5 linked regions of the Oryctolagus cuniculus genome follow. The protein of the gene in region 1 binds, or shares a complex with, the protein of each later gene. Links are inferred from orthologs where the notes say so. Each region holds a gene or a part of one and is shown in the gene's direction. Other genes may lie near its edges. The genes, in order: PPARG, MED1, NFKBIB, NRIP1 and CREBBP.

What was found.
Region 2: the proteins of PPARG (region 1) and MED1 are in contact, whole or in part, in a crystal structure (PDB 6ONJ), measured with the Homo sapiens proteins. The link is inferred for Oryctolagus cuniculus from reciprocal best matches to the Homo sapiens genes PPARG and MED1. Residues at the interface, in NP_056953.2 of Homo sapiens: Val321, Gln322, Thr325, Glu326, Lys329, Phe334, Leu339, Asn340, Asp341, Gln342, Val343, Thr344, Leu346, Lys347, Gly427, Leu429, His494, Pro495, Leu496, Glu499, Ile500, Lys502; in NP_004765.2 of Homo sapiens: Asn638, Thr639, Asn641, His642, Pro643, Met644, Leu645, Met646, Leu648, Leu649, Lys650, Asp651.
Region 3: the proteins of PPARG (region 1) and NFKBIB are in contact, whole or in part, in a crystal structure (PDB 9CK0), measured with the Homo sapiens proteins. The link is inferred for Oryctolagus cuniculus from reciprocal best matches to the Homo sapiens genes PPARG and NFKBIB. Residues at the interface, in NP_056953.2 of Homo sapiens: Gln322, Thr325, Lys329, Phe334, Leu339, Gln342, Val343, Leu346, Lys347, Leu496, Glu499, Ile500; in NP_002494.2 of Homo sapiens: Asn286, Pro287, Ile288, Leu289, Ala290, Leu292, Leu293, Arg294, Ala295.
Region 4: the proteins of PPARG (region 1) and NRIP1 are in contact, whole or in part, in a crystal structure (PDB 9CWN), measured with the Homo sapiens proteins. The link is inferred for Oryctolagus cuniculus from reciprocal best matches to the Homo sapiens genes PPARG and NRIP1. Residues at the interface, in NP_056953.2 of Homo sapiens: Val321, Gln322, Thr325, Lys329, Phe334, Leu339, Gln342, Val343, Leu346, Lys347, Pro495, Leu496, Glu499, Ile500, Lys502; in NP_001426204.1 of Homo sapiens: Ser130, Thr131, Leu132, Leu133, Ala134, Leu136, Leu137, Ser139.
Region 5: the proteins of PPARG (region 1) and CREBBP are in contact, whole or in part, in a crystal structure (PDB 7RLE), measured with the Homo sapiens proteins. The link is inferred for Oryctolagus cuniculus from reciprocal best matches to the Homo sapiens genes PPARG and CREBBP. Residues at the interface, in NP_056953.2 of Homo sapiens: Val321, Gln322, Thr325, Glu326, Lys329, Phe334, Val335, Leu339, Asn340, Gln342, Val343, Thr344, Leu346, Lys347, Leu496, Glu499, Ile500, Lys502; in NP_004371.2 of Homo sapiens: Asp62, Ala63, Ala64, Lys66, His67, Lys68, Gln69, Leu70, Ser71, Leu73, Leu74, Arg75.

Annotation. Positions count from the first base shown.
Region 1 is NC_091441.1:114,812,859-114,818,370, reverse strand, and holds the end of PPARG (peroxisome proliferator-activated receptor gamma), read left to right. Parts: intron 1-3,597; coding exon 3,598-3,845; 3' UTR 3,846-4,217; downstream 4,218-5,512. UniProt on the Homo sapiens protein: Nuclear receptor that binds peroxisome proliferators such as hypolipidemic drugs and fatty acids.
Region 2 is NC_091448.1:22,905,091-22,910,719, forward strand, and holds the start of MED1 (mediator of RNA polymerase II transcription subunit 1), read left to right. Parts: upstream 1-2,142; 5' UTR 2,143-2,364; coding exon 2,365-2,389; intron 2,390-4,945; coding exon 4,946-5,052; intron 5,053-5,629. UniProt on the Homo sapiens protein: Component of the Mediator complex, a coactivator involved in the regulated transcription of nearly all RNA polymerase II-dependent genes.
Region 3 is NC_091449.1:15,861,030-15,866,682, reverse strand, and holds the start of NFKBIB (NF-kappa-B inhibitor beta), read left to right. Parts: upstream 1-1,876; 5' UTR 1,877-1,963; coding exon 1,964-2,142; intron 2,143-5,653. Other genes in the region: SIRT2 (NAD-dependent protein deacetylase sirtuin-2), read right to left, coding at 1,514-1,729. UniProt on the Homo sapiens protein: Inhibits NF-kappa-B by complexing with and trapping it in the cytoplasm.
Region 4 is NC_091435.1:32,123,769-32,129,615, forward strand, and holds the start of NRIP1 (nuclear receptor-interacting protein 1), read left to right. Parts: upstream 1-2,102; 5' UTR 2,103-2,224; exon of another isoform or gene 2,225-5,847. UniProt on the Homo sapiens protein: Modulates transcriptional activation by steroid receptors such as NR3C1, NR3C2 and ESR1. Also modulates transcriptional repression by nuclear hormone receptors.
Region 5 is NC_091450.1:31,789,037-31,794,083, forward strand, and holds part of CREBBP (CREB-binding protein), read left to right. Parts: intron 1-347; coding exon 348-425; intron 426-725; coding exon 726-793; intron 794-3,043; coding exon 3,044-3,194; intron 3,195-3,426; coding exon 3,427-3,573; intron 3,574-3,964; coding exon 3,965-4,078; intron 4,079-5,047. UniProt on the Homo sapiens protein: Acetylates histones, giving a specific tag for transcriptional activation. Mediates acetylation of histone H3 at 'Lys-18' and 'Lys-27' (H3K18ac and H3K27ac, respectively).

The DNA of each region.
Region 1 (5,512 bases):
TTCCTTCTGTAATAAAAAAAGAAGAAGAAGAAGAAGAAAGTTAGTTTAGCAGAATGTTCAGGGTTCTGAAAAGCTCACACTGAGGTCACCCTGCATTGTAGCCTTGGTTTCCTGAGCCTCACCTGAACAGATGCAGGTTACTCGAGTTTATTAGAGGCAGGAAAAGTCGGTGTACGTGAGACTGCTTCATGGCGTGGTGGTTCTGCCTTTGGGCTCCATTCACCAACCGGGGAGAACTGTACTTTCCGATCCAGGGCCTGAACGACCTTTTCACTCATTGACTCAGCCACCCGAGTGCCTCTTGTGTTTCTGCTAACGAACGGTTCACAGACATCAGGGCGGCCTACAGGGGAAGATAAAGCAAGTCAGTGCTTAGAATCCAAGTGAAGAAAAGTTAAGAGGAGAGCCTTTGGAATCAGACGCACTCCACGCAAACCTCAGCTCTCCCGAGACTAGCAGGTGGCAGATCTCGGCACGATTTAACTCCTTTCCCTGAAGTCTTCATTCCCCCTTCAGAAAGTACCACCTCACGGAGTTATCATGAGGATTAACTGGCATGTTGTGTGCACGGCCCTTGGCGGTCTTTGGAGAATAATAGCCTTTCAGTAAATGCAGTCGGGTACGGTCGTGCTTGAGTCATTTACAGGGTGCTGTGGGAGCACACGGCAAGGACAGTAGAAGAACAGAGGACGTGGGGGGCTCGTGCCGAGGAAGGGTCCAGGCCAGAAACCCAGCAGAGGCTGCTTTCTGAAGAAGGGGTTGGCATCTCTAAGGCAACAGTGAGAAGGGCGGGTTTCGGGCAGAAGGAACAGGACCTGATTAGGCACACCGTCCTGACAGAGCCCAGGATGTCGGAGGAGCTTGGTATGGCTGGAGCAAAGGGATAGTTAGAGAAACTGAGGCTATAGCAAGAGCAGGAGCGGCCTCCGAAAGCTGGAAGAGGGCATGTAGCAAGGACAGCCAAGCGGTTGTGGAGTGAACGGCCGTCAAGAGCTAAGCTCTGGCCAGCACCTTGGCTCACTAGGCTAATCCTCCACCTGCGGCGCCGGCACACTGGGTTCTAGTCCCAGTTGGGGTGCCGGATTCTGTCCCGGTTGCCCCTCTTCCAGGCCAGCTCTCTGCTGTGGCCCGGGAGTGCAGTGGAGGATGGCCCAGGTCCTTGGGCCCTGCACCCCATGAGAGACCAGGAGAAGCACCTAGCTCTTGGCTTCGGATCGGCCGGCCGTAGCAGCCATTTGGGGGGTGAACCAATGGCAAAGGAAGACCTTTCTCTGTCTCTCTCTCTCACTGTCCACTCTGCCTGGGGGGGGGGGGGGGGGAGCTAAGCTTGAAACCAGCACGAAACACCAGTGTCCCAAAGGTTGCTCATGACCCCTGCCTGCTGGTGAGCCTTCAGGAGCAAACCTTGAATTCTAACGCTGTGCAATAGAAATGAAACTTGAAAAACAAGAACCAAAACCCACACTTTCTACTTGGAGATTCAAGAACTTAATTTTAGGTAAGTGTAAGACAGGCTGTTTAGCAAAGACCCACGAGAGCCCTGTGGGTCGCAGCCCCTTAGAGGAAAATTAGAGCTCACACACACCAATCAGGAAGCGATTAGTACCAACACAGAATGGACTAAGCCGTGAACTCCAGGAACTAGAAAAAGAGAAAAGAATGAACTTAAAGGTTTTAAAGAAGGAATTTGATCAACTGAAACTAAAATATAATTTTCAAAAGCAGTTGATAAAACCAAAAGCTGTTTTCTTCAAGAAAAAAAAAATAGATAAACCTTTGACAAATCAAATATTTTAATGAGGCCGGCACCACGGCTCACTAGGCTAATCCTCCGCCTTGCAGCGCTGACACACCGGGTTCTAGTCCCGGTCGGGGTGCTGGATTCTGTCCCGGTTGCCCCTCTTCCAGGCCAGCTCTCTGCTGTGGCCCGGGAAGGCAGTGGAGGATGGCCCAAGTGCTTGGGCCCTGCACCCCATGGGAGACCAGGAGAAGCACCTGGCTCCTGTCATCAGATCAGCGGGGTGCGCCGGCTGCAGCGGCCATTGGGGGGTGAACCAACAGCAAAGGAAGACCTTTCTCTCTGTCTCTCTCACTGTCCACTCTGCCTGTCCAAAAAAAATATATTTTAATGAGCGAATACACAGATAAAGAGCATTAAATTAAGGGAGCATAGTGAAAGCAATCAGAGAGCTCCAATTCTAAGAGGAAGTCATGTACCGCTTTCTTCCAATATAAAATACTAAATTTTTTACTTTGTAAGTAGGAAACCTGAATAGATAAAAAGCTGTGGAAGGAAAAGCAAAGGCAGCTGAAGCTTTATCACAGGCTCAGGTGGTTCTGCAAATGGATTCCAGGAAATCCGCGCAGAAACAGAAGGAGGTCTCACCCCAGTGTGCAAGGCGAGTTAACATTTATTTCCAAAACAGGCAGAGAATGGCACAAAAAATAACACTCTGGGCAATATCACCTGCAAATATGAAAGCTCTAAATAAAATATTAGCAATTGAGTGCAAGAATATAAGGAAATCTAACGTAACACTGCACCAGACTAAGATAAAACCATATCTCTTTAGATAGCATATATCTGTAGATAGAAAAATTTTAAAGCATTTGATAAAATTCAACAACATTCCTGACTAAACAAATTAAAAACTTGAAAATTCTTGGAAAGCCCGGAGTAAAACATACCCAGCATAATCTATAGCAAACATCATACTTGATGGGAAACCCTTAGAAACATTTTCTTCGAAGTCAGAAATAAAACAAGAATGCCCCTGATTATTGCTGCTATTTAATACCACATCAGAGGTCTTAGCCAACAGTATAAAAAAGGAAACGCAACGTGCAAACACTGGAAAATAAAAAACAAATAAATCTACCAGTGTTTATAGGTGTGACTGTCTAATCAAAAAGGAATCCATGATTAAAAATTACTTGCACTGACAAAAGTTCAGAAAATTAGAATAAATTCAATATAGTAAAATCAATAAGGTTTCTAGACGTCAGCAAGAATATATTAGAAAAAGAATGAAAATGAAGAGACCGTTCACGATAGGAGCTATAACATATTTAAGGATAAATCTAACTAGATGCGCAGGAAGAAAAACATTACCAAAGGTGCGAAATTAATGTAAGCTGCTTTCTGCAAATTGAAATGGGAGGCAGAAGAAGATGCAGTCGCACCTCTCCCGAGAAAGCTCTGTGAAAATGCTGGGGGTCTGTCCCCGCAGACTCTAACGGTGTTTGAGAACCGTGCTGTCACGCTGAGACGGCCCTGTGCTGTATTGACCAGGAGGAGGACGAGGCGCTCTGTTTGGAAGTGGGTCTGAAGCTTGGCGGGGGGCAGGAAGGAGCAGGTGGTGGAAGCGGGAGGCTCAGCCTGGGCGCGGGGTGACTTTGAGGCCGTGTTGCCGCCACCAGCCGCAGAGACGGAGCCCGGGACGGCCAGCGGTCTGGGTTTCGATCCCGCCCAGCGTCGGCCTGCCTCCCCGCACCTGTCCCCGGGGGCTGCCCCCGGGGGCTGCGCAGGCTCCGAGGTGGGCCCAGAGGGTGTCCTGACTGACCCTGCTGCTGTGTTTTCCGTTTCTGCTCCCCCAGACCGCCCAGGCCTGCTGAATGTGAAGCCCATCGAGGACATCCAGGACAACCTGCTGCAGGCCCTGGAGCTGCAGCTCAAGCTGAACCACCCCGAGGCCTCGCAGCTGTTCGCCAAGCTGCTGCAGAAGATGACGGACCTCAGGCAGATCGTCACGGAGCACGTGCAGCTCCTGCAAGTGATAAAGAAGACGGAGACGGACATGAGCCTGCACCCCCTCCTGCAGGAGATCTACAAGGACCTGTACTAGCCCGGCCCTCCTGAGCCACCGACGCCGTGTCCTTCTTCCAATTGCACTATTATTTTGAGGGAAATTCTGACACCTACAAAATTTTACTGTGAAAAAGCATTTAAAAAGAAAAGGTTTTAGAATATGATCTATTTTATGCATATTGTTTATAGATATACATTTACAATTTACTTTTAATATTAAAAATTACCATGTTATGTAATTTGCTGGTAGTATTTGAAGACCGAGTGTGATGTGTTGCCCCACCCCAGCCCCTTGGACTCCCCCCCACCCACATCTTTTATTTCCGTTCTTCATTCTGTAGTCATCTTCTTCCACGTGAATGGAGCTGTTGATAAACTTTAACCCTCAGTAAATTAATTTTTTACTGAATTTACAACTTTCCTGAACTCTACATCTGCTTTCACAATTTTAACTCAGGAAGGGGGACTTGAGAACCGAAAAGCACTCGCAGCGTGTGATGCTCAGCCTGGCAGCTTGCCCCTAGGTTGACCTAACCACGACTGTCACCGCGAGCAGCCTGGTGCTACCCCTAGGTTGACCTAACCACGACTGTCACCGCGAGCAGCCTGGTGCACACAGTCGCCTCTCCATGCCTGTGGGAGAATGGCTCCGTCTCACACACTGTGGATCCCAGGCCACAAGAAGCTCACGTCGGTAAAGGGCTGTGCTGCCTTCATGGATCCTGTGCACACCCTCCCCTGCGCTTGGTGCTGTGGTTTTATACTAAGGACTTGCATGCACAGCGCACGTAGTTGCCGTGTGTACTGGCAGGGCATGACACCAGGAGGAAACGTCTGAACGCGGTCAGTACAGGTGCAGTCTTCTCAGATATGTTCAGTCCGCAGATGCAGAACCCACAGAGGAGGAAGGTCAGGTGTACTGCCCACGGCTCAGATACCAGCACACACACCCCCAAACCGCTGAACTGAACGCTGGGCGCTGCTGGAAGCTCTGGGAAACACAGCTTTAAGATTTGACACCTGACAAAAACAATTACAAAACTGAGGCCAAAAGATGAGCTTTGTGAATACAGAATGCAATACACAGTAGTGGTTATGTGCCAGACGAGCGATTCAGGCTGCAAGCTGGGAGGGAGAGTCCCATGGAAATGCAGGGTGAGGGGACTGGGACAGGGGAGAATCCCTATGCAGGGTAAGCGATGCGTTGTAACAAAGCTGCAGGAACAGCAGCCGTAGCGAAAGGGGCAAAAAGAAAGGAAAGCGAGCGACTTCCTGGTTCCCAGCCACCCTCGCTGGGGCCGCTTACCCTGAGATCTCTTAACTTCTGAACGCAGGCTGATCACCCCCATCGTTTGTATAATCCCTGCCTCCGCAGCAAGTCGAGTGTGAGTTTCCCTGCAGGCAAGGGCCGCCTTGGCACAACTAACAGACTGGTTGATAAAACCACCAGTTCCACTGGCCTTGGCGCCCCATGACCTCACTATGCTGTTTTTAAGAATGCCCGGCGACCATCATGGCGCCTGTGTTCTCCAAGGCAGGTGTCCCCACAGAGCTGGAAGATTTCCCAGCCATCCCTGCCGTGGTTTCTCGCCTACGGTGCTTACACCTCGCAGAACGTGACCTTGGATCTGAGACTTTCACATCAAAGTATCAAAACAAATCTTTTCATCTTGGACTTCAACATACCAAGCGTGTGGTTCAGCG
Region 2 (5,629 bases), on another chromosome or scaffold:
GCATTGCATATCAAGTCCCAGCTGCTCTGAGCTTCCAAACCAGTTTCCTGCTCATGAATCTGGGAGGCAGTGCACAACCCAAGTACCTGGGTTCTTGCCACCCACACTGCAGACACAAATGGAGTTTGTGGTTTCCTGGTTCTTGCCTGGCCCAGAGCAGCTGTTGTCACTTTGGCTTTCAAATAAATAAAATAATAAAAAAAAAGATTTGGTTAAAGTTTGAAATGATGCAACACAGGACCTCAAATCAGGGATCAGAAAGTCTTGCCTTTCTTGCCTAAAGGGAAAAAACTTTACTTAATTATTTGAGAGGCAGACAGAGAGAGCTCCCATCTGCTGGTTCACTCCCCAAATGCATGAAATGGCTTGGGCAAAGCCAGTAGCCAGGAATTCAATCAGGGTGGTGGTAGGGACCCAAGTACTTGAGCTATTATCTGCTGCCTCCCAGGGTGTGCATTAGCAGGAAACTGGATTATAAGTAGAGCCAGGACTCAAAACCAGGTACTCTGATATGATATGTGTGCATCCCTGGGCATCTCTTAACCACTGCACCGAACACCTGCCTGGAAAATATGCTGTTAATCCCAACTCAAGTGGAGCACTGTTAGTCTGCTTTCAAGGAACCAAGTACTCTGACGTTAGGATGCAAATGCCCACTTTGGAACAAACATTTAACTTAGATTTGAATGAGAGCTGAAAGGGTTGGATAAAGGGGAGGCTTCCCAGCAGTTAGAAAGGCCTGTAGAAGGACCTTGGGAGGAATGCAGGAATTCTCCTCCAAATGAGGGAAAGTCAGTATGCTGGGGATTGGGACAGGCAGAAAAGCTGGATCTAGACAGGCTTGGTAAGCCAGTAAGATTGGCTACCAGGCCTAGGTACAGTGCTAGGGAGTGATGATTCAGTAACACGGGGCCATTTCTGCCCCTACGAAATTCACTATGTATAATATGACTCCAAAGAATGACGATAAGAGGAAAAAAACAATAAAAGTGTAATCCTATTTTCAAGGGAATGTTATAATTACCTTTGTGGCAGTAAAGAAACAAGTTGCCAGGTTATTTTTTTTTTTTTTTATCAAATTTATACTGCTGTGCCTACTCAGTTGAATTGCAGTTATTTGCTGAGATGGCTCTGGATATGTGAATGCTATTTTTTAAATGTGGAAAAAATCTGAGACTACAGTCAGTAGAAATTCATTGCTTAAGCAGAAGATGGCCCAAGTCCTTGGGCCCCTGCACCCGTGGAGGGGGGGGGAGGGCAGCAGGGGGACTTGGAAGAAGCTTCAGGTTCCTGCTTTGGATTGGCTAGGTCCAGCAGTTGTGGACATTTGGGGAGTGAACCAGCAGATGGGAGACCTCTCTCTCTGCTTCTGTAACTCTACCTTTCAAATAAATAAATCTTAAAAATAAAAAAGAAATTCATTGCTTAATATTCTTGCAGAAAACTAGGTAAGATCCTACTTTCCAGCCGCATTTTTGAAGGATGTATATGAGAAAATTCTTTTTAAAAGTAGCCTTTAAGCTCCAGTGGCCATGCACTTGCCAGCATTGCTATGGATTTCTCTTCATGAGGATTTATTGACACAAGAGAGAAGACTACACACTGTGATCTGCAGTGGAGATACAAGCTAAACTGCATGTTTCCACCAAGACACAGTGATAACATGCACTTGCTGCTGAGAACAAGTTTATTTTAATCCAAAGCACTTCAGATTTTCAAAACTGCTGCAACTGCTCAAGAAATATTCCTGAAACTTAAAAAATATTAGAAAATGGTAATTAAGTGTCCTAGGCAGCCTTCAAATGTCGTGTTACAAAGAGCCAGTGTTTTTATGACAGTTTTACTGCATCTAGCATATAAGGGAAACTCTACTGTATTTGATAAAACATTTCAGATACCAGTATTCTTTGAAAATCTAGCCTGTAAAAAAAAAGGGGTTCTGTGGGTTTAGTTTCCAAACTAACGGCTAAAATGAAAATGCAAGTTTTCGTACAACAACCGAACTCTACCTGCTCGCAAGTTCAGAACGAAGTACCCAAGAGCTAAGAGACAGCCGGATTTGGAAGAAATCTCGCGGAAGTACGTCATTCACCTCTCGCGAGACTTCAGTATCCCGTCGCTTCCTTTCTCGCGCAGGATCACGGTTTATCTCGCGAGCTTTAGGAAGTTCCGTTGGGGAAGATGGCGGCGGCCGCAGGCACCCTTCTCTTCTTGCCACCGGGGACTTCAGACTGAGCCTTCCCGGGAAGAGTAGGGACTGTTGGTGCCCTGCGTCCCGGGAGCCCGAACTAACGTGGCTCTCCCATTAGTGGAAGGAACGGGCTTCTCCTCTTGTGGCGGACCCAGGCCCTGCCCGTCGTCAGGATGAAGGCTCAGGGGGAAACCGAGGGTGAGTGACAGTGGGGGAAAGGAGGGGGCGGGACTCAACTGGGGGCAGCCAATCTGGGCGAGGAGGTGGGGGCCGATGCCCCGTGGGGGCCGCTTTCGCGGGGGCACTGAGTCCAGGATGCGGGATGTGTGTGTCTTAGATGCTCATCATGCCTTCCTTGATGGTGATAGAGCGCTGACTTAGGGTGGTGGGGGCTCCCAACTTGGGTGAAGATTTCCTTTTTATATAGAGACAGTACCTGGGGCTTCTGGGCACTTTTAGCCTAAAGTGGTGGAAGATCAGGCGAGTGAATATATTAGCTGTTTGCAACTCATTCCGGAAGAGACCATTGAATAATGGCCTAAAAACAGCCATACGGAACCGTGTATCTAAAAGTACTGGAGAGTATTTTGATGTGAATGATGTGATTTGGTCCTGAGGATACAAAATGCCTGCACTTCCTAAAAGTCACAGTGTTCCCATCGGTGGCCGGACTGATTTAGAACTGTTGAAAACGACTTTTTCTATGGAAATTTTTACTCCGATTCTCTGGAGTTCCACACTGCACTTTCAATCACAGCTTACTTTATTATCATTGTTCATCCTTCCAGTTTGTTCTGAGCTTTGTAGATCAGGGGGCTGCCCTATTCATTTTTTTTTTTTTTAAAGATGTATTTATTTGAAAGGCAGAGTTACAGAGAGAGAAAAATCTTCTACCTGCTGGTTCACTCCCCAAATGACCGCAATAGTTGGAGCTGGGCTAGGCCGAAGCCAGGAGCCTCCCCAGCGTCTCCCATATGCGTGCAGGGGGCCACTCTCTGAGGCCATCCTCCGCAGCTGTCCCAGGTGCACCATCAGGGAGCTGGATTGGAAGCGGAGCAGCTGGGCCTTGAACCTTTGCCCATATGAGTTGTCAGCATCCCAGGTGGTGACTTCACCCGCGATACTACAACACCGGCTCCCTTATTCATCTCTGTATAATCTCTGGCACATAGTAGTTGCTCAGAAAATGTTTGATTTGAGTTTCAGACTAAGGACGTTTTACAGAATGCTTCTCAAGAAAAAAAAGGGGTGTGATTTGAAGGAGAAGAAATGTGTGTCCCTTGGGTGTAAAGTGGAAACACCATCAGGCAGGAGTTTTGTATGGTTTGCTTACTACTGTGTCTGCAGCACATACAATTGTGCTTGAATGAATGGCTTGATAGTGGGAAATAGGAATGTGCCCAGAGCAATCAGCTGGCTGAAGCAGCCTACAAACCAGTTTTCCAGAAGATGAAGGCGTGAAGGAAGGAGTCTGAGTCTTGACTGAGATCATCTTGCTGCCTTAACTCTGACCTTCTATTTATTTTTCAGTGCCAGTGTCAACAGTCTGTTTTTTTTTTTTAATGTCTCCATATTGATTATGTACTTTTCCTTCTTTGCTATTCAGTAGTAATGTCTCTGCTTTTAAGAGCATTTCTTTTTGCACCAATGGTAATTCCCATGTTAACTTGATCACACTGCCTCACAGATGTCACCTCAGGCATATCTTGTTATTATTATTATTATTATTATTATTATTTTTAACAGGCAGAGTGGACAGAGAGAGAGAGGTCTTCCTTTTGCCGTTGGCTCACCCTGCAATGGCCGCCGCAGCTGGCACGCTGCGGCCGGCGCATTGCGCTGATCCGAAGCCAGGAGCCAGGTGCTTTACCTGGTCTCCCATGCGGGTGTAGGGCTCAAGGACTTGGGCCATCCTCCAATGCACTCCCGGGCCACAGCAGAGAGCTGGCCTGGAAGAGGGGCAACCGGGACAGAATCCGGCGCCCCAACCGGGACTAGAACCCGGTGTGCTGGCGCCGCAAGGCGGAGGATTAGCCTATTGAGCCATGGCGCCGGCCCTCCTCAGGCATATCTTGTGTTCCTTTCCAGTGGCCCCAGCACAGGTCTTCGCTCATACATGGCAGTTCAAGAACTAGGGGAGGCTCGAAGGGTTTAAGAGGTTCATTCATATTCTTAGTTCAGGAGCTGATCCTTTCTGCCTTTCTCTTAACCTCTGTTGGAAATTCATCTTTTGGTTATTGATTTCTTCCCTGTCCATATAATTTTAGCTATATGGAAAAATATGAAACATCAGATAGGCAATTAGGGTCTGTTTTCTTGATCATACTTATCAACCAATCTCTTAAAATTATGGCCAAAAATTAAGGAAGTATTTTCACATTGAAAATCAGCTAACCATTGTAAGACCATGTTCAAATGTATGCTCTCTATAAATATTATACAGAAATTTCAGGCATGTTATGAAAATGACTGTCACTAAGTTGTAGGCATGGTCGTGAATCATGATTAGACTCGGTTCCTTTTTGGGTTCCCATTAAAACCTTGAATGGAATGTCCTATGGTGTTCCTTTTATCAGACCCATAAGGTATGTGTCTTCTCACCTTTAAAAATATTTTCTTTATGTGGTTTGAAGAAATTATATCGAAAAGTAGTTTAGCCAATTCTTAGATTCGGCTGTGTGGGGGTTTCTTTTCCAAGAAAAACGAGGTCTTGATAAAGGAGTTTCTAATGATGTTTTCTGATTTATGTCGTAGAGTCGGAAAAGCTGAGTAAGATGAGTTCTCTCTTGGAACGGCTTCATGCAAAATTTAACCAAAATAGACCTTGGAGTGAAACCATTAAGCTTGTGCGGCAAGTCATGGTGAGGATTGTGGCAAGTGGGTAAAGTGTTATACTTAGATAATAAGTAAGCTCCCTGTGTCCAAATTAGCTACAATAGTGTCTTCAGATTTATTTATCATAAAACACTGGAATATATTGGAGCTTTTCAGGGACCTACCTAGGAAGGAGCTATCCATTCATCCTGGTTATCTAAGGGGGATTGTTCCAAGATCCCCCGTGGACATCAAAATCCCCATTTGCTCAAGTTCCTGTTATGAAATGGCATGGCATTTGCATATAACCTATGCACATACTCCTATATACTAGAAATCATCTCTAGATTACTTATAATAAAAATGGAATGTTATGTAAATAGTTATTACATTGTGTTGTTTAGGGAATGATGACAAGAAAAAAAGTGTTTGCTATAAAAGAAGTTGTTTTTTTTTTCTGACTCTTTAATCTTCATTTGGTTGATTGTGCAGATGTGGGATTTGCAGATACCAAGGGCTGACTGTATTTATAAAACTATATTTATTGTGAGTTTTGGTACCCAGTGGGTACTTATAGCAAAGGTGCCAAGAAATATGCCTGTTAGGGACGCATTTGGCAGACTG
Region 3 (5,653 bases), on another chromosome or scaffold:
GAAGGGACAGAGCACAGGTCACTTAGGAGCGCTGCCTCAAATCCCTCATCTGTATGATGGCCACGATAGGTCTTACCGCTCATGCGGGTGCTGGGCAGACAAAATGAGATGTTGCACTACGCAGAGCGCCTGGCTGGCTAAGCAGCCGGTGAACACGCTAACCGAGGCTGCTGTGAGCCGGCCGCCCCCAGCCTGCATCGCACGGTCGCGCCCCGGTCTCCGCACAGCTGCAGCCGTCCCATGGAACACCTCCTCACCTCATCTATGTTCTAAGTCACTCTTCACTCACTATGCTGCGTCTACATCTCAGTCTCACTCCTGGGCCAGCCTGGGGATTCTCCGAGGGAAAGGCCTGGCTGGGGTGCTCCATGACCCACCACGCTCGCTCTGGGGAGCTCAGGGACCAGAGGGGATCCCTGGCTCTTCCAGGGCCAACACAAACGAGGTTCAGAAGGAATGGGAAGGGGGGTGGGCAGCAGCAAAGAGAGAGGAAAGTTTAGGAAGGCAGGCCTGGGGCTGAGGCTGTACGTTTTTCTCGGAGGTCCCCAACACCCCCCATTCCCCAAGAGGCTGCACCCCTGCAAGGCGGGGCGAGGGGCCCCGGGGGAAATGTCTCCCCTCTGCCACCTCCCCCCAGAGTGGGATGTGGGAACGAGTCCAGCTTCCTCCTCCCCTCCACCATTTCCCCATCTCACCTGAGCCTCTTGCACCTTCCCTGCCTGGGTCTCCAGAGGGTCAGAGGCTGGGGGAGGAGGGGGAGCAGACGTGGTTACAGTGGGGGGAATGGTTAAGAGGGAATGAAGGGTTAAAAGTGGCCGCGGTGGGAGCGGGGGCAGGGGCGGCAAGAAGACCCAGGGTCATGGGGCGGTGGAGTGGCAAAAGCTGAGCGGAGGGAGGCAGGGGAGGGGGCTGGCGGGAGAGGTGGTGAGTAGGGGCAGAGTGGCTGTGGCGGGGCAGGGTTGGGAAGAGAGGCTGGAGGAAGCTTAGGAAGAGTTAGACAGGGCAGAGCAGTGTGTGAGTGTGCGGGGAGGGAGAGGAGGCTCCCAAGGCAGAGGAAGGTTTAGACAGGAAGCGGGGCTCGGGCTGGAGGCGGGTTTGGGAGAGGAGGAGCGGTGGAGGTGATGGCACAGGAACTGCAGGGGAGAGACGGGACGGGACACCCGGGCACCCCTAGCATCCTACGGTTGCCCCTGACAACCAGGTGCTCTTAGCAACCGAGACCGCGGCAACTTTTGTCCTCAGTAACGAGGGTCCTCAGCAACCAAAGTGTGAGAAACACACGATCATTAGTAACTTGGAACACGGACGAGGTAAACGGACCCTTAAAACCTCGCGACCCAGAGACCCGCCACCCCGCGAGTGTGGATCAACCTAACTACAAGCCTCGGAACCCCGCTCCCTCAGTGTAGCCCTGCGCTCCCAGCCCCCCGCGCCCGCCCTCGGGCCCCGGGGCCTGCAGCCCTCGGCCAGGCCCCGGCGCGGCCCGACCCTTCCACCGGGGCCCCCGACTCACGATCCGGCTCGGCCATGGGCTCGGGGCGGGGGCCCTCGGGGCTGTCACCGACTGCTCTGTCCCGTGACGGCACCGGAAACAGAAGGGGAAGGCTTCGGGCATAGAACTACGACTCCCAGCACCCATCTCGGCCGCATACAGGGCTTTCCCGCAAACGCCCCGTGCGCGCCCGAAGGCGGAACTACGAGTCCCAGACGGCCTGGCGGTGGCAGCCATGTTAGTAAAGGGCGCTCGGAAAATGTGGGTATTGCCCGAGAGCCGTCGTGCATCCCAGTGCTCTGATTGGCCACCCTGCACCAAGGGGGCGGGGCGTGACCGATTTCGCCCACTCTAATTGGATTTACCAGGGGGCGTGTTGGGGAATTTCCCGCAGGGCGGAAGTGCCGGAGCTCCGGGCAGAGCCCAGCGGCAGGCGGGGAGCCGCGGGGGGCCCTGAGGTGGCTGGGGGCCATGGCTGGGGTTGCGTGCTTGGGAAAAGGTGCGGACGCGGATGAATGGTGCGACAGCGGCCTGGGCTCTCTGGGGCCGGACGCGGCAGCCCCAGGAGGCCCGGGGCTGGGCGCAGAGCTGGGCCCAGGGCTATCGTGGGCTCCGCTCGTCTTCGGCTACGTCACTGAGGATGGCGACACGTGAGTGAACCTTAGGCTGTTAAACGAAGCCCTCGGATCCGAGGCCTGATTCTCCATTCGTTTCTGAGTGTCTGTGGTTTCCCAACCTGTCACTCCTGAATCTGACTTCCGTTGCGGGACTTCCTGACTTCACACCCCCCCCATCCTAATTTGTAACAAAACCCAGTTTCCGATCAGCTTTGAGCCCGATTCGATCATTGCCGACCTACTTTCCCTGAACCTTGATTTTCATGCCCCCCCCCCCGAACCTACATCCTCCTAACCCACTGATCCCAAAACCCGATTTGACCTTCTGACCCCCAGTCCTTAGTAGAGTTGGGGCTCAGGCTGTGGCTCCCCACCCCCCCATAGCATCTCTGATCTGAGCTGCTGACTTTGCTTCGGGGGACCCTCGGCCCCCGCCTCTAAGAGCCTGCTCCTGGGCTCTGATCTTCCCGGCTTCAATTCCGAGACAGCCCGTGAGCCACGGGAGAGCTGAGGTGGCCTTGCACCTGACCCGGGTCCTGTCTGAGCCATGGACAGTGAAGGAAACAGAAGCTTTGGTGTGGCGTGGGGGCCGGGGGTCGCGGTCACCAGGGGCGGAGCCTTCTCTGGGTGGGAGGGTAGGAGGGAAGAACCTCCCAGGGACAAGACTGTAAAGGACCAGCTGGGCACCTTCTCTGGGTTTTGTGGGGTTTTTTTTGCCCGTTGATTGCTGGGTCCCCAGAGGCTCAAAATAGCGCCTGACCCACGTCTTCTCCAAGAACCAGCGAGGGTTTCGCTACTTTTCTCCCTCTTTTCACTTTCTATTTCATTAGCCCCTAACCTGACTTTTATCTTCTTTCTTCTGAATCTTGGGTTTAATTTATTCTTTTTGTAATTTATTTTGTTCTTTTTTAAATTTTTTAAAATATTTATTTATTTATTTCGAAAGGCAGAGTTAGAGAGAGAGGGAGGGGAGAGATCTTTCATCCACTGGTTCTCTTCCCCCAGAGAGATTAAATGGCCATGGCTGGGCCAGGCCGAAACCTGGAGCCAGGAGCCTCTTCTGGGTCTCCTTAGCGGGCGGCAGGGCCCACACACTTGGGCCACCTTCTGCCGCTTTTCCCAAGCTATGAGCAAGGAGCTGGGTTGGAAGTGGAGCAGCCGGACACGGAACCAGAGCCCGTATGGGATGGGTGTCCCAGTGGTGTCCTCGCCGCGGCCATAATGCTGGCCCTGTCTTTTTGTGATTTCTTAGGATGAAAGTTCATGTCATTGATTTGAGAGCTTGCTCCTGTTTTAATGTAGGTTATTGAGTACTATGAATTTTCCCCTGAAAGCTGCTTTAGCCTTGTCTCACAATTCTGATATGTTGTATCTTGATTTTCACTTAATTCAGTATTCCTTATAATTTTCTCTTTTGAATTCTTCTTTGACCAGTAGATTTAAAAGTCTGCTATTTGGTTTCCAGATAGTTTAATATTTCCAGGTATTTTTCTGCTGCCAATTTTCAATTCCATTGTGGGCAGAAAACATACTTTGTACGTTTTAAATTCTTTTAAGTTTTTTGAGACTTGTTTTACGGCTCAGAATGGTGTACACACACTTAAAATACTCTGTACCCTGTGGTTAATGTAGCGTCCTCTGCATATCAGTTGGAGGCTGTGTTGGCCCACAGAGCTCCAGGCTGCTTTGTCCTTGGTGATGGTTTTTCACTTGTCTGTCAGTGGTTGAAAGGGAAAGTCTGAGAGCTCCAGCTGTAACTCTGGGTTTGTCTGTTTCTCTCTCTAATTCTGTCAGGTTTTGCTTAATCTAGTTTGAGGCTCTGTTATCAGGGCACAGATATTTAGGATTATGAAATACTGTTACTCGATTCATTGATCTCCTTAGCGTTTTGATATTACCTTCACTATCTGTGGCAATATTCCTGGCTCTGAAATCTACTCTGCCTGATTTTAAAATACTCCTTTATTTGAAAGAGTGAGAGAGAGAGAGAGAGAGAGAGAGAGAGAGAGATCTTCCAACCTCTGGTTCATTCCCCACATGGCCACAACGGCTGGGGCAGGGTCAGGCCGAAGCCAGGAGCCTTCAACTCCCTCTGGGTCTCCCGCGTGGGTGGCAGAGGCCCAAGCACTTGGGCCGTCCTCTGCAGCCTTCCCAGGTGCATTAGCAGGAAACCGGATCAATAGCGGAACGACCAGGACTAGAACTGGGGCTCTGGTGTGGGATGCTGGCGTCACAGCGGCCGCTTAACCCCCTGCGCCACAGCACTGGCCCCTGTTTTGTTATTTTAGTGGTCACTTTAAGACAGCAGTTGGCAATGGAGCCTGCCACCTGGTTTTGAGTTAAGAATGGTCTTTATATTTTTTTAATTTTTAAAAAATAATCAGCAGAATAATACTGCTTGGTAAGTGGAAATTTTATGAAATTCATATTTTGGGCCCCAATAATAAATTGGAGTGCTCTTTTATTTGCATATCGTCGTCCATGGCTATTTGCAGTAGCAGAGCTGAGTGGGTAGAAGGGAGACCATGTGACCCACAAAGCCTAAAGCAGTGCTCTGTCCCAGTACAGAAAACATTTGCTGACTCCTGCCTTAGGGCTCATACTGACAACTTTGTGATATCATGCACTTTACACAGAGTAAAAGAACCTTAGAATGATACATCTGGGGGCTGGTGCTGTGGCACAGTGGGTTAAGCTGCCACCTGCAGCACCAGCATCCCATATGGGCACTGATTCAAGTCCGGCTGCTCCACTTCCCATCCAGCTCTCTGCTGTGGCCTGGGAAGGCAGTGGAGGATGGCCCAAGTGCTTAGGCCCCTGTACCCACATGGGAAACCTGGAAGAAGTTCCAGGTTCCTGGCTTCAGCCTGGCCCAGCCCCAGCCATGTGCAACTATTTAGAGAGTGAATCTACCCGTGGAAGATCTCTCTCTGTCTCTCTCTGCCTCCTTTGTAACTCTGCCTTTAAAACAAATAAAATATCTTTTTTTAAAAAAAGAGTGATATAACAAATAATAGATTTCATTTGTCCCCTCCTGGCCTTAGTATTATTGCTGTCATACAGTTTATGTACAAGTTATGAAGTCCAGGTGAGCTTTGTTATTGTTTTTGCCTAAACAAATACTTTGAAACATTTTATTTATTTTAAAGATATATATAGATATAGATAGATAGATAGATAGATAAATAGATAGAGAGAGACAGACAGAGACAGAGACAGAGAGAGAGACAGAGATTCGCGTCCCCGCACTCCCCAGAAGCCCAGCTGAAGCCGGAGCTGGGTCTCCCGCGTGTGTGCCAGACCCCACGTGCTTGTGCCGCCCCTGCGGGCCCCGGCGCGTTAGCAGGAAGCTGGAATCAGGAGCCAGAGCTCCAGACGCAGGCGCCTCCGCTGGCGTCTCAGCCGCTGGGTCAGTGTCCTTCCCTCTGTAACCTTTCCCGTGGTGTGGCTCTGCCGGCGATGAATTCCCTCAGCTTTGGCATATCTGAAAGCCTGTTCGGTTTTCACTAAACAAGGTGTATTTTGTTGTTGTTGTTGTTTGTAA
Region 4 (5,847 bases), on another chromosome or scaffold:
TACAGTTACTTTCTTGTTTCAACTTTAAAGAAAGAAATATAACTGAAAATTAAAACAGTTCAGTTATATGCAAAAATTTCATTGGTTTAGTCAAAAATGACAAGGGGCAATATGGGCTTAACAGTTATAGTTTCTGAGGTTGGAAAATGGGATTTAGAAAATTACCAAGTTCCTCGGCAAATTCTAATAGGAGTACTAATACAATTGCAAATCTGGTTGTTTTAAAGCAGATATTAATCATTTCCTTCTAGTATAGGTAATCAGAAAAGTTATTCCCCTGCCCCACATGTCCCTCTTATATTGCTGATAGAATTTATAGGCAAAGCTTGATTTGAGTCCAAGGTCTGTAATTTGAGGCCTGTCACTTAGCCAGCCCTGCTTAGTGTCTGTTTCTCCTCTGTAAAATGGGAGAATGCCTTCTGCTCATTTCACTGAGTAATGAAGATCAAATAAGGTCATGTCCGTGAAAGTGCTTTATAAACTGGTAAAGCATGTAGCTTACATAATGCTTGTTCCCATTCATCTGTCAGATCTGCCTCTTTCTGTTTGTTAGGTCGCTGGTGAGGGTAGCATGACAGCCAGAACTACCTCTGTAATGTGTACTGCCTCTTAGGATTAAGTATTTGTTTTATACTTGCTCTAGGGAGTGGATAGTTTTACATTTTGCTGTTTTCATCCTCTAATTTATTTTGTCTGTTAGTAAAGTAGTAATATATTCATTGTAGAGAGACTAAAAAATAGAAATCAACAACAAACTTAGCTGTCTAAATGCAAAAAATGTGTTTTTGTATAATTTTAAAACAAAAATTTAATTATGTTGAACATGTCTCTTGTTTTTATTTGACATTTAATACATCATTCCATATAGCTTAATTTTGTTAGATAATATTTTAATGGCCATAATATATCATAATTTATTTAATTAGTTTTAATTATTTTATTTTGACATTGAATGATATTTATAAATTTTTCTGTTAGCAATAATATGAATATCCTTATGGTCAAATATTTGTATAAATCCTTCATAGGTTATTTATTTATTTATTTTTGAGTAGGAGAAATCTTGGGCAACTATGACATCAAATAACATTGATGGGCATTTGACTTTTTTTTTTTACAACTTCATTGAATTTCAGTTGATAAGTAATAAACTGCACATATTTAAGATGTATACTTTGATATATTTTGACATATATGTACATCTGTGAAACTATTACTGCATTTAAGCCAACATCCAGGGCTAGCTGTTAAACCTAGCAGTTAAGATGCCCACATTGTGTATCAGGGTACCTGGGTTCAAACCCTGCTCCGATTCCGGACTCCAGCTTCCTGCTGCTGCAGATACTGGGAAGCAGCGGTAATGGCTGAAGTAATTGAGGTCCTGTCATCCATGCAGAAGACTTGAATTGAGTTTCCAGCTTGAGTCTTTAGCCCAGCTCAGTCCTTACCATTGCAGGCGTTTGGGTAGTGGGCCAAGAGATGAGATCTCTCTGTCTCTCTCTCCATCTCTTTTTCAGCCTCTCAGACAATTAACTAAAAGATAACATCTATATATAGTCCTTCCCTTTTAAATTCTCCATCCCCAGCTACCCCACTGATTTGTTTTCTTTCACTATTGATTAATTTTCATTTTCTAGAATTTTATGCAGATGGAATCTACAACTGAGAATGTTTGTAAGAGAGAAATTATAGCTTTTATTTTTCCTTCCTTTTTTTCTTTATTGGAAATATACCTTCAGGAAAATTTAGACTTTTTGGTTGTAAATTGATTGAATTAATCTGACAGAACACTATTAAGATGAAAAAATTTACAAAGGTTATTAAGTACATCCTAGCAACCCTAAGCCTTTTTTGTAGTTTACTTTGTTGAAGCATCTACTTTTTATCAGTTAAGTAATTGTATTATCTGGAACACAAAAATCTGTTGCTTTCCTTTAACAAAACAGTATTCATAAAAGCTTTGTATTTCCCTGTCAAATGACTTAACTTTTGCATTAAACTTGAACAAGAAAAGATTCTTGAATACATTTACCGAACTTAGAAAAGGTATTCTAGAATCTGGCTTGGAATAGTTGCCAAACTATCTTTTTCCTTTTCTTAAGATGCATACTTGACTAACGCAGGACTGGGGAATCTGAAGACTCCAGATGACATCAGAGCTACTTTTCAACAGCCTTCTCAGTTTCCTTTCACAGAAAGCAGAGGCTTAAACCTTGGAGTGACGGTGAGAATATTTTTTTTATTTCTTCAGGCTTAATCATTGTGATTTTGATATATTTCTGAAAATTCTATGTTATAGAATTATAAATTCTTATATAATTATAAATTATAATCATCAAATGTGTATTATGTGCTTTTATCAATGCAGATTATTTCATTGGACTATTGGTTAAAAAATAAGATACAGTCCTACTTTAAGGAACTTACAGGGAAAGGATAAATGTAGATAAATAAATGTAGTCAAACAGTAAAAGATTAAAATTTCCTTAAGAAAAACACAGCAGATATTCTTAAGAGTTAAATGTGTAGATTACTTCTGGTTGAAGAGATTGGGAAGCTTAAAAGAAGAGATTATATTTGTGTGGGTGGTACTTACTTTTACCAGAAATCAGAGAAATTGGATAGTTAATACAAAATGTGAAGTAGCAATCATTTCAGATAAAAATTAATTATATAGTATCTTGAGGAAATGTGGAAGGATGTTTGGTTGTTATGAGTTTGTTATGGTATAGGTCAGTGATTACTTCTGGAATTATGTGAAATGGTTACTCTTCCAAGGCAAAGACTATACTAGCATCTGAGAAGTGATACAATAATTGGTTCAAATCAACACCACTAGGTGCGCAGTGCAAGGAGAGAGCAGAGTGAGTGGTTAATTCTACTTGGATTAACACTCCTGTTTTCTAGTCTTTCTGCAACCTAAGTGAATTTGTCACGTCATGTTTGTCATGCTTGTTTCTGAGCAGAAGCAAACCAGGTGAACTAGGTAAAGGCACAGGTAACTGCAAAAAGGCACAGTGAATGGTTATTCTTCTCATAATTAACTGTGATTAATACCTCTTTCAGGTATTTACCTGAAAACTCTGATCAGAAGAGAGAGCAGGTGGAGCATCCTGAAATTCTGGGTGTTCTAATTCACTAGGATGTTTCAAAACGGGCTTGGGAACTCAGCCAAATTTGCACTTTACCTGCAGGCATAATATGGTTGTCACAGTGATAGTACCTAATCCTTTTTCTGCACTATTTTGGTTATGTTAAGAAAACTTAGCGATGGGGTTATTTTAATCATTCCACTTAACTGCTTTGGCTTTTCTTGTAATTTCACCAAGAAAAATCTCTAAAACATTACTTGTCAAAAACAATTGTATAAAATTGTTGTTAATTCTTTGGTTGCTCTGCATTTTTTTTTTACAACTATTCACATATTTTTACCTCTAAGTTAGAATTGTAAATACACTAGACTTTTATTTAGAAATACTAAAATTTCTTTTATTCAGCTGTAATTATGTGTTAAGAAATGATTGATAATCTTATATTTGCTTTCATGGGGTCGGTGTTTGGGACCCAGCAGATTAAGTTACTTCTTGCGATGCCACATTGCATAGTGTAGTGCCGGTTCAAGTCCCTGCACCTATGTTTCTGTTTCTGATCTGGCTTCCTGCTAATGCTTCTTTGGAAGCTGCAGATAATGGGCCCATATTACCCACTTGGAAGACCTGGATGGAATTCCTTTTCCAGCTCTGACAGGGGTGTTTAGGGAGTAAAGAAGTGGATGGAAGATTATTCTCCGTGTGTGTGTTTCTCTTTGTTTCTTTTTTCTCTCTCTCTTGCTCTTATTCTCTGGTCCTCTTTCAAATGATGAAAATAAATAAACTTTTTTTTAAGTTCATGGAAAATTTAAGCAATAAGTTGATTTTTTAAAATCTTTTATATTTGGAAAAATATAGTTGATATTGAACCCTGTTTATCAACTTTTAATTTTTTTTTAAAGATTCATTCATTTATCTGAAAGGCAGAGCTACAGAGAGGCAGAGGCAGAGAAAGAGAGGTCTTCCATCTGCTGGCTTACTCCCCAGATGGCTGCAACAGCCAAAGCTATGCCAATCTGAAGCCAGGAGCCAAGAGCCTCCTCTGGATCCCCAACATGGGTGCAGGGGCTCAAGAATTTGGACCATTCTCCACTGCTTTCCCAGGCCACAGCAGAGAGCTGGGTGGGAAGTGGAGCAGCTGGGACTCGAACCTGCACCCATATGGGATGCCGGCACTGCAGTGGAGATGTGCACTGGCCCCCTAAAGTTTTATAAAAAAGAACATTATAACCAGGCATACTCCTGTTAACACTTCTGCCCCTTGCCCCGTGATATAGTTTGTTGTTCTTAATTTTTCAGCATCCTTGTTCTACTGAGTAATCAGAATGGTAAGCAACAATCACTCATGGCATATGAGTAAATATGTAAATGAGTTATTCTTAGACATGATCAAAGATTTTTCTTTCAGATTAACAAAAGTTATTTAGAAGGTACAGTGAAAAACTTTGAAAACATAACACTGTATTATTAGTGGAGATTTTCTAAATTCTTTACATATATTCAAAAACGATTTAAGATTTTAAAAGGAATTATGCCAAGTTTCTGTTGTCTAAGGTCGTTCTTCCTTTGAAATGAGGAGCTCATGATCAGTTAGTTGGAATATGTTGGGTCAAAGTATATGAATTTTTTTCAGTACCCTTCCATTAGCCAGTGGATTATGTCTCCAAGAGGGAGATCTCTGGTATGTATCTCAGGAGACTACTAGTTGACAGTTGGAGATTCTCGACTAACATGCTTTACTGTAGTTTGTTACACATCCATATTCTAAAAAGTCTTGTTATACTTTTAAGTACAGTAATGTCCTTTTGAATGAAAGTCCAAAGAAAGTATTGGAAAAATGAATTTGATTACTTATACTTTGAAACCACATAAAACATGAAGTGTTTATAAAGCTTTTTAGTGTTTCAGACCAGATTTCCCTTGCTTACTTGTTAGCTTCCCCTTTTGAAAGAAATGGAAGTCATTGTAGGTATTAACTAACAAATTCATGTTTTATTTTATTTTATTTTATTTGACTCCATATACTCTGTATGTTTGCTCATATCAGTGTGTAACATTTATTAGCTAATTTTGACGAAACTGATGATACAAAAGCAATGAATAACTTGGATAGAATTAGGTAAATTAACTGTAAACCAATTTAGCTTAAGCCTCCGAATATATCAACTTTTTCACTAAATGGAATTTTTATTGTTATATGTCATAACTTTTGTCTGTGGAATGTTCTTTACTGTTTTTTTTTTTTTTCCCAGTTTGATTGAATTGTTATGATTTCAACAGATGTCTTGAAATTCACTGGAAAATTTTGTTAAAATTTTTGTGTTCAACAAACAAATATCTATAAAGATACGAAAATAGACAATAAAGAAGGCTAATTTTTGTAAAGTAGGCATTAGTAATGCCTTCCCCAAACTTTATAAAACTCTCCTGAAAAGTACAGTGGTCCCCTGTTAAAGCACAGATAGTATTAAACCGTATATAGTACTGTTTTGTTAAGTACATGCATTCTATGAAAAAGTTTAATTTAGACATATCTAAGTAATTGACAATAATAATAAAACAGGACAGTTATCATAGTATGTTATAATAAAAGGTATGTGAATATGGTGTTTCTCTCTGCAATCTTACTGTATAATTGTGCTAACATGGGTTAACCACAGATGATTAAAACCGTGGAAAGTGAAACCATGGTTAAGAAAAACTACTGTAATGTATGTTGTGTTTAAAATAAAAACACTTTGTAAACAGTGCTTAAAAT
Region 5 (5,047 bases), on another chromosome or scaffold:
TGAGCACAGCGCATGAAACGCCACTCGGGGATGCCCACGTCTCTGACCAGGGTCCAAGTTCACAGAGTATTTGCATTACCACTGAATGCCAATTTCCACGAAAGTCTTTGAATCATCTTGGTAGTTTGTGAAAAGATAAGGTTGCGTTTCTGGTTGCAAAGGGAGGTTGGGAGCAAGAGGAGTGAGGCGCTTGTTCTCTGGAGGAGAGGTGGGAGGTCAGCCTCGCCTGTGTCAGCCTCAGAGGCGCTCCTGGTGGCCCTGAGAACAAGGTGTGCGCACACTCAGGCGCCTGCGGCTGGTTTCATTTGTGTTTCTGAGTGCGTAACTTTGGGCTTTTTGTCTCCTAGTTTTGTTGATTGCAAAGAGTGTGGACGGAAGATGCATCAGATTTGTGTGCTGCATTATGACATCATTTGGCCTTCGGGGTAAGTCATTTCCTGTGGTCTTGGAACCGGTGAGCAGCTCGGCCTTGCGGGGTCGGGGTGACAGTGGCGGTCTCTTCCTTGTTGTCAGACTGCAGCAATCATAGGAGCTGGCGGTTAGTTCTAACTTGAAGTCTTAAGTGTTTGCCCGCTTTAGGAATGGGAGAATCAAAGCTGTCTGCCTCTTCACTTTTTTTATAATGATGTGATGCAGATGCCAACAAAGGGTTGTGATGCTGTGTTTTGCTGGTTTGGCAGCACATGCTGGTGGATGGAATCTGATCACACCTTTTTTTTCCCCAGCTTTGTATGCGACAACTGCTTGAAGAAAACTGGCAGACCTCGAAAAGAAAACAAATTCAGTGCTAAGAGTAAGTCTGTGGGAGACTTTTGTTTCCTGAACGGTCCTCTTTAGAACTTGGGCACATTGTCCTGGTCTCCTTGGGTGCCTCTCAGTCGATGAGTACTTTTACAGCTCAGTTATCTAAGGTTTTAATCTATTTTTTAATACTTGATATTTTTATTTTTATTGATTGATTGATTTGAAAGTCAGAGGTACACAGAGAGGAGAGGCAGAGAGAGAGAGAGAGGTCTTCCACCCGATGGTTCACTCCCCAATTGGCTGCAACGGCTGAAGCTGTACCAATCCGAAGCCAGGAGCCAGGAGCTTCTTCTGGGTCTCCCATGCAGGTGCAGGGGCCCAAGGACTTGGGCCATCTTCCACTGCTTTTCCAGGCCATAGCAGAGAGCTGTATCAAGTGGAGCATCTGGGTCTCGAACCGGCACCCATATGGGATGCCAGTGCTTCAGGCCAGGGCATTAACCCACTGCGCCACAGCGCCAGCCCCAATACTTGCTATTTTTCTTGTCTTACCCATAAATAGTCATGTGGCTTGATCTTTATATGAAAGTCAGCTTTTATGATCAGTCTGTTTTAAGTTAATTTTTGAATTTATTTACTTACATGAGGTCTTGTCTTGCTGGTTCACTCACTCATTGCCTGCACACAGTGGCAGGTGTCCAGAGCTGAGAGCCAGGATTTTCATCCAGATCTTTCTGTCTTGGTTGCAAGAAGGGGAAGACCCCTTGGAGGGTCTGCACAAACAGGAAGCTGCAGTCAGGAACTGGAGCCCAGTGCAGAACGTGGGCGTCCACACCGTGCTGTGCTTGCTGCCCCAGAGCAGGGCTTAACGCAAGTTCAAACTCTGCTGTTAACCAGAATTTATATATTTATTTGAAAGAGTTACACAGAGAGAGAGAGGTCTTCCATCCAATGGTTCACTCTCCAGTTGGCCGCAACGGCCGGAGCTGCGCTGATCTGAAGCCGGGAGCCAGGAGCCTCTTCTGGGTCTCCCATCGGGTGCAGGGGCCCAGCACGTAGGCTGCTTTCCCGGTGCATCAGCAGGGAGCTGGATCAGAAGGGCGCAGCCAGGACATGAGCCCATGCCCATTGTGGGACGCCAGTGCTGCAGGCCCAGGCTCAGCCCACTACTCCACAGCGCCGGCCCCCCAGGTTCACCCCAGTAAGGAGTCTTGTGAAATGCCAGGTCGTTGTTTAAATGTCTCTGATTGGGAAATACTAGAGAGTCGATGAAGAAGACCGGCGTCCCGGTGAGCCTTGTGCCACTTTCCTTTGCAGGCATCTGTGAGGCGTGCTCTGTGCCACACCGAGTGTTGACCCTTGTTTCTTCCTTGGGGGCTGGCCTCGTGAGGGGGAGCGGCCTAAGAACGGCCACCCTGTCAGGGTGCACACTCGCTTGGAGACGGTGGGCATAGGGCCAGACTCACATGCCTGTGCAGTTCCTGTCCTCCACATGACTGGAGAGTCCCTGAAGCAGCAGGCCATCTTCGGCTGATGCTTTGTGGGTGGTTCCTGGAATGTTCTAGTCTGCAGAGCTGGTCACTCACCAGAAACCCGCCTTCCCTGAGGGTGTAGTGCCCATCCTCTGGGGAAGCACCAGCCAGTCTGATTGCTCTAGGTGTCCTGCTGCGGGGTGCTGGTGGCGGGAAGGGCCTGGGGCCTGGGGTAGAAGGACACAGCCCGGCCCCTCCTTGGGCCTGGCTTCCACCCCACAGCTCCTGCCAGACCTAGGGCTACCTCTACCTCTAGTTCTTCTGCCCCTCACTATTAGAAAAAGATGGAAATGTCTGGGAGTGTTGTTGGTTTTCTGGCTGTCGAGTGCCTGAGCTCCCTGAGTCCACCTGAGGAAGACAGGACCCCTCCTGTGTTTGGAGAGCTTCGCTCCTTTACAACGTCGGCCGTGGGACGGGAGTTGTTTCACAGCGAGTGAAGCCTCCTCTGGGGACACCCGCAGCCCACGTCAGCATGCCGGTCCGAGCCGCTTTCTGCCCGTTGGCCCGGGAAGGCAGTGGACAGCAGCTCGGGTCTCTGGGTCCCAGCTCTGGTCTGTCCTCAGGCTGGATGTTACAGATGCTTGAGGAGGGAGCCGGCGGATAGACGGTGTCTCTCTGTCTCCCCTGCTCTGTCACTCTGCCTTTCAAATAAGCAGATAAATAAGGTCTCCAGTAAGACAGATGTAAGACTGTGCCAGGAGAAAGGTGGTGCTGTGGTCTCACTGGCCTTTGCCTAAGCCTCTCACCTGCTCCTTCGGACTTCCTAGGACTGCAGACCACACGCCTGGGAAACCACCTGGAAGACCGAGTGAACAAATTCCTGCGGCGCCAAAACCACCCTGAAGCCGGGGAGGTTTTCGTCAGAGTGGTGGCCAGCTCGGACAAGACCGTGGAAGTCAAGCCTGGGATGAAGTCTCGGTGTGTGTGCTGTGCTCTCCGGCCGCAGCCAGGGCCCGCGCGTGCAGGGCCCTCCTGGCAGCCCAGCACGTCTCCCAGAATGCGGGCCCGTGCGGGGGTGCCGTGCCTGCGTGAGGCTGGGAAGACATGGTTGCGGCTTGCGGGGAGGCACGGCCGTGTTGCCCCAAGACGTGAGGCAGGTGCGGAGCAGAGGCTGTGGAAGCAGGACGTTAAGCGCTGGCTTTTCTTCCAGGTTTGTGGACTCTGGGGAGATGTCCGAGTCCTTCCCATATCGAACCAAAGCGCTCTTTGCTTTTGAGGAAATTGATGGAGTGGATGTGTGCTTCTTTGGAATGCATGTCCAAGAATATGGCTCCGATTGCCCGCCTCCAAACACAAGGTAATCCCAGCTCTTCCCTTAGTAAGTGTCTTAGGGGAACTGTGTGCTTTGGTTCTGGGAAGTTAGGTTAAGCCGCCGTTAGCCAAGCTTAGTTTTGTTTACCTGAGAACTCATGGAAAATGAAGGGACTAGACGACTGTGGCGAGTGTGCGTGTCCCCGGTCCGGGGCCCTGGCCTCCCCGCCGCCTCCGTCTCACCTAAGCAGGTGTCCGCACTCATGAGAGGCGCCTCTGCCGGGAGTTCCCTCCTGCTGAGGCAAGAATGGCAGTGGGCAGGGGCGCTGCCGGCGGCTTCGGCAGAGCCTGTTTCTGCAGATTTCTTGGATACTGCTGTTTGGTTTCCAGTTTGAGGGGTACCTTGAGTTAAAAATGGACCCACCCCACTCCCGCAGGCGTGTGTACATATCCTACCTGGACAGTATTCACTTCTTCCGGCCCCGTTGCCTCCGGACAGCCGTTTACCACGAGATCCTTATTGGATATCTAGAATATGTGAAGAAATTGGGGTAAGTTTGGACTAAACTGTTCAGAGCTAGTCAGAGCTCTCTGCATTTCTCGGTGTGTGTGTGTTGTGAAGTCATAATTGCACGGTTTATGTTGGCTGTGTTGTTTCTCGCACCCCGAGGTCAGGTCGGGAGCGAGTGTGGGGCCAGGTGTTCCCAGGGCGCGTGCTCTTCCTCTGCCTTTGCCTGCTTTTCCTTCTCCTGCACTTCACTGGGGCGTAACTCCACACCCAGAACTCGCCTGTCACAGGTGTGTGCCTCAGCGGGTGTTCGGAGGCGTTGCCACGTGGTGGAGCCATCAGCACACGTTGGTGTTGGAGCGTTTCCATGGCCGTGCGGATTCCACACGCTGTGCCATTGGTCTCTCTCGCCTCTGCCCCAACCCCTCATCCACTTCCCGTCTCTGTGCCTTTGTCTTTTCTGTGTAAGTGGGATCCTTAGTGTGTGGTCTGTGGTCTGACTTCGTTGGCTTTGCTTGTATGCTCTAGATCTACCGCATTGTTTTCGCAGACTTGAAAAGGTTAGAGGGACTTGATGAAAGGGTCTTAAAGAATGCGACGGTTGTGACGTGAACCCCTTAGAGAGATGCTGGGCCGAGCTGCCTTGGCAGCGTGCAGGAGGAGGCAGGCGGGGCCCAGCGCCTCCCTGCGCCGCCTTCCCTCTGCCTGGGGGCTCTGTGACAAGGCTGCAGCTTTGCGCTGTGTTTCTGGCCCTGCCTGGCACACGCCCAGGGGGAGAGAGAAGTTGTAGCTTTTGAGTTTGCAGGTAGTAAAGATTCAGCCATACCCGCCTCAGCACACTGGCTCGGAACCTGAGTCTCTGTCAGGCTCTACCACAAGCATTATGAAAATTTCTGTGTTTTCTTCCTTGTGTGTAATATGTATCCAAGTGTTGGTCCCTGCTGCTCCGCTGTAGCTCCTTGAAGGCAGGGCCATTTGCTGACGCTGATCTGACTTGGGCGTGTGTCTGGCA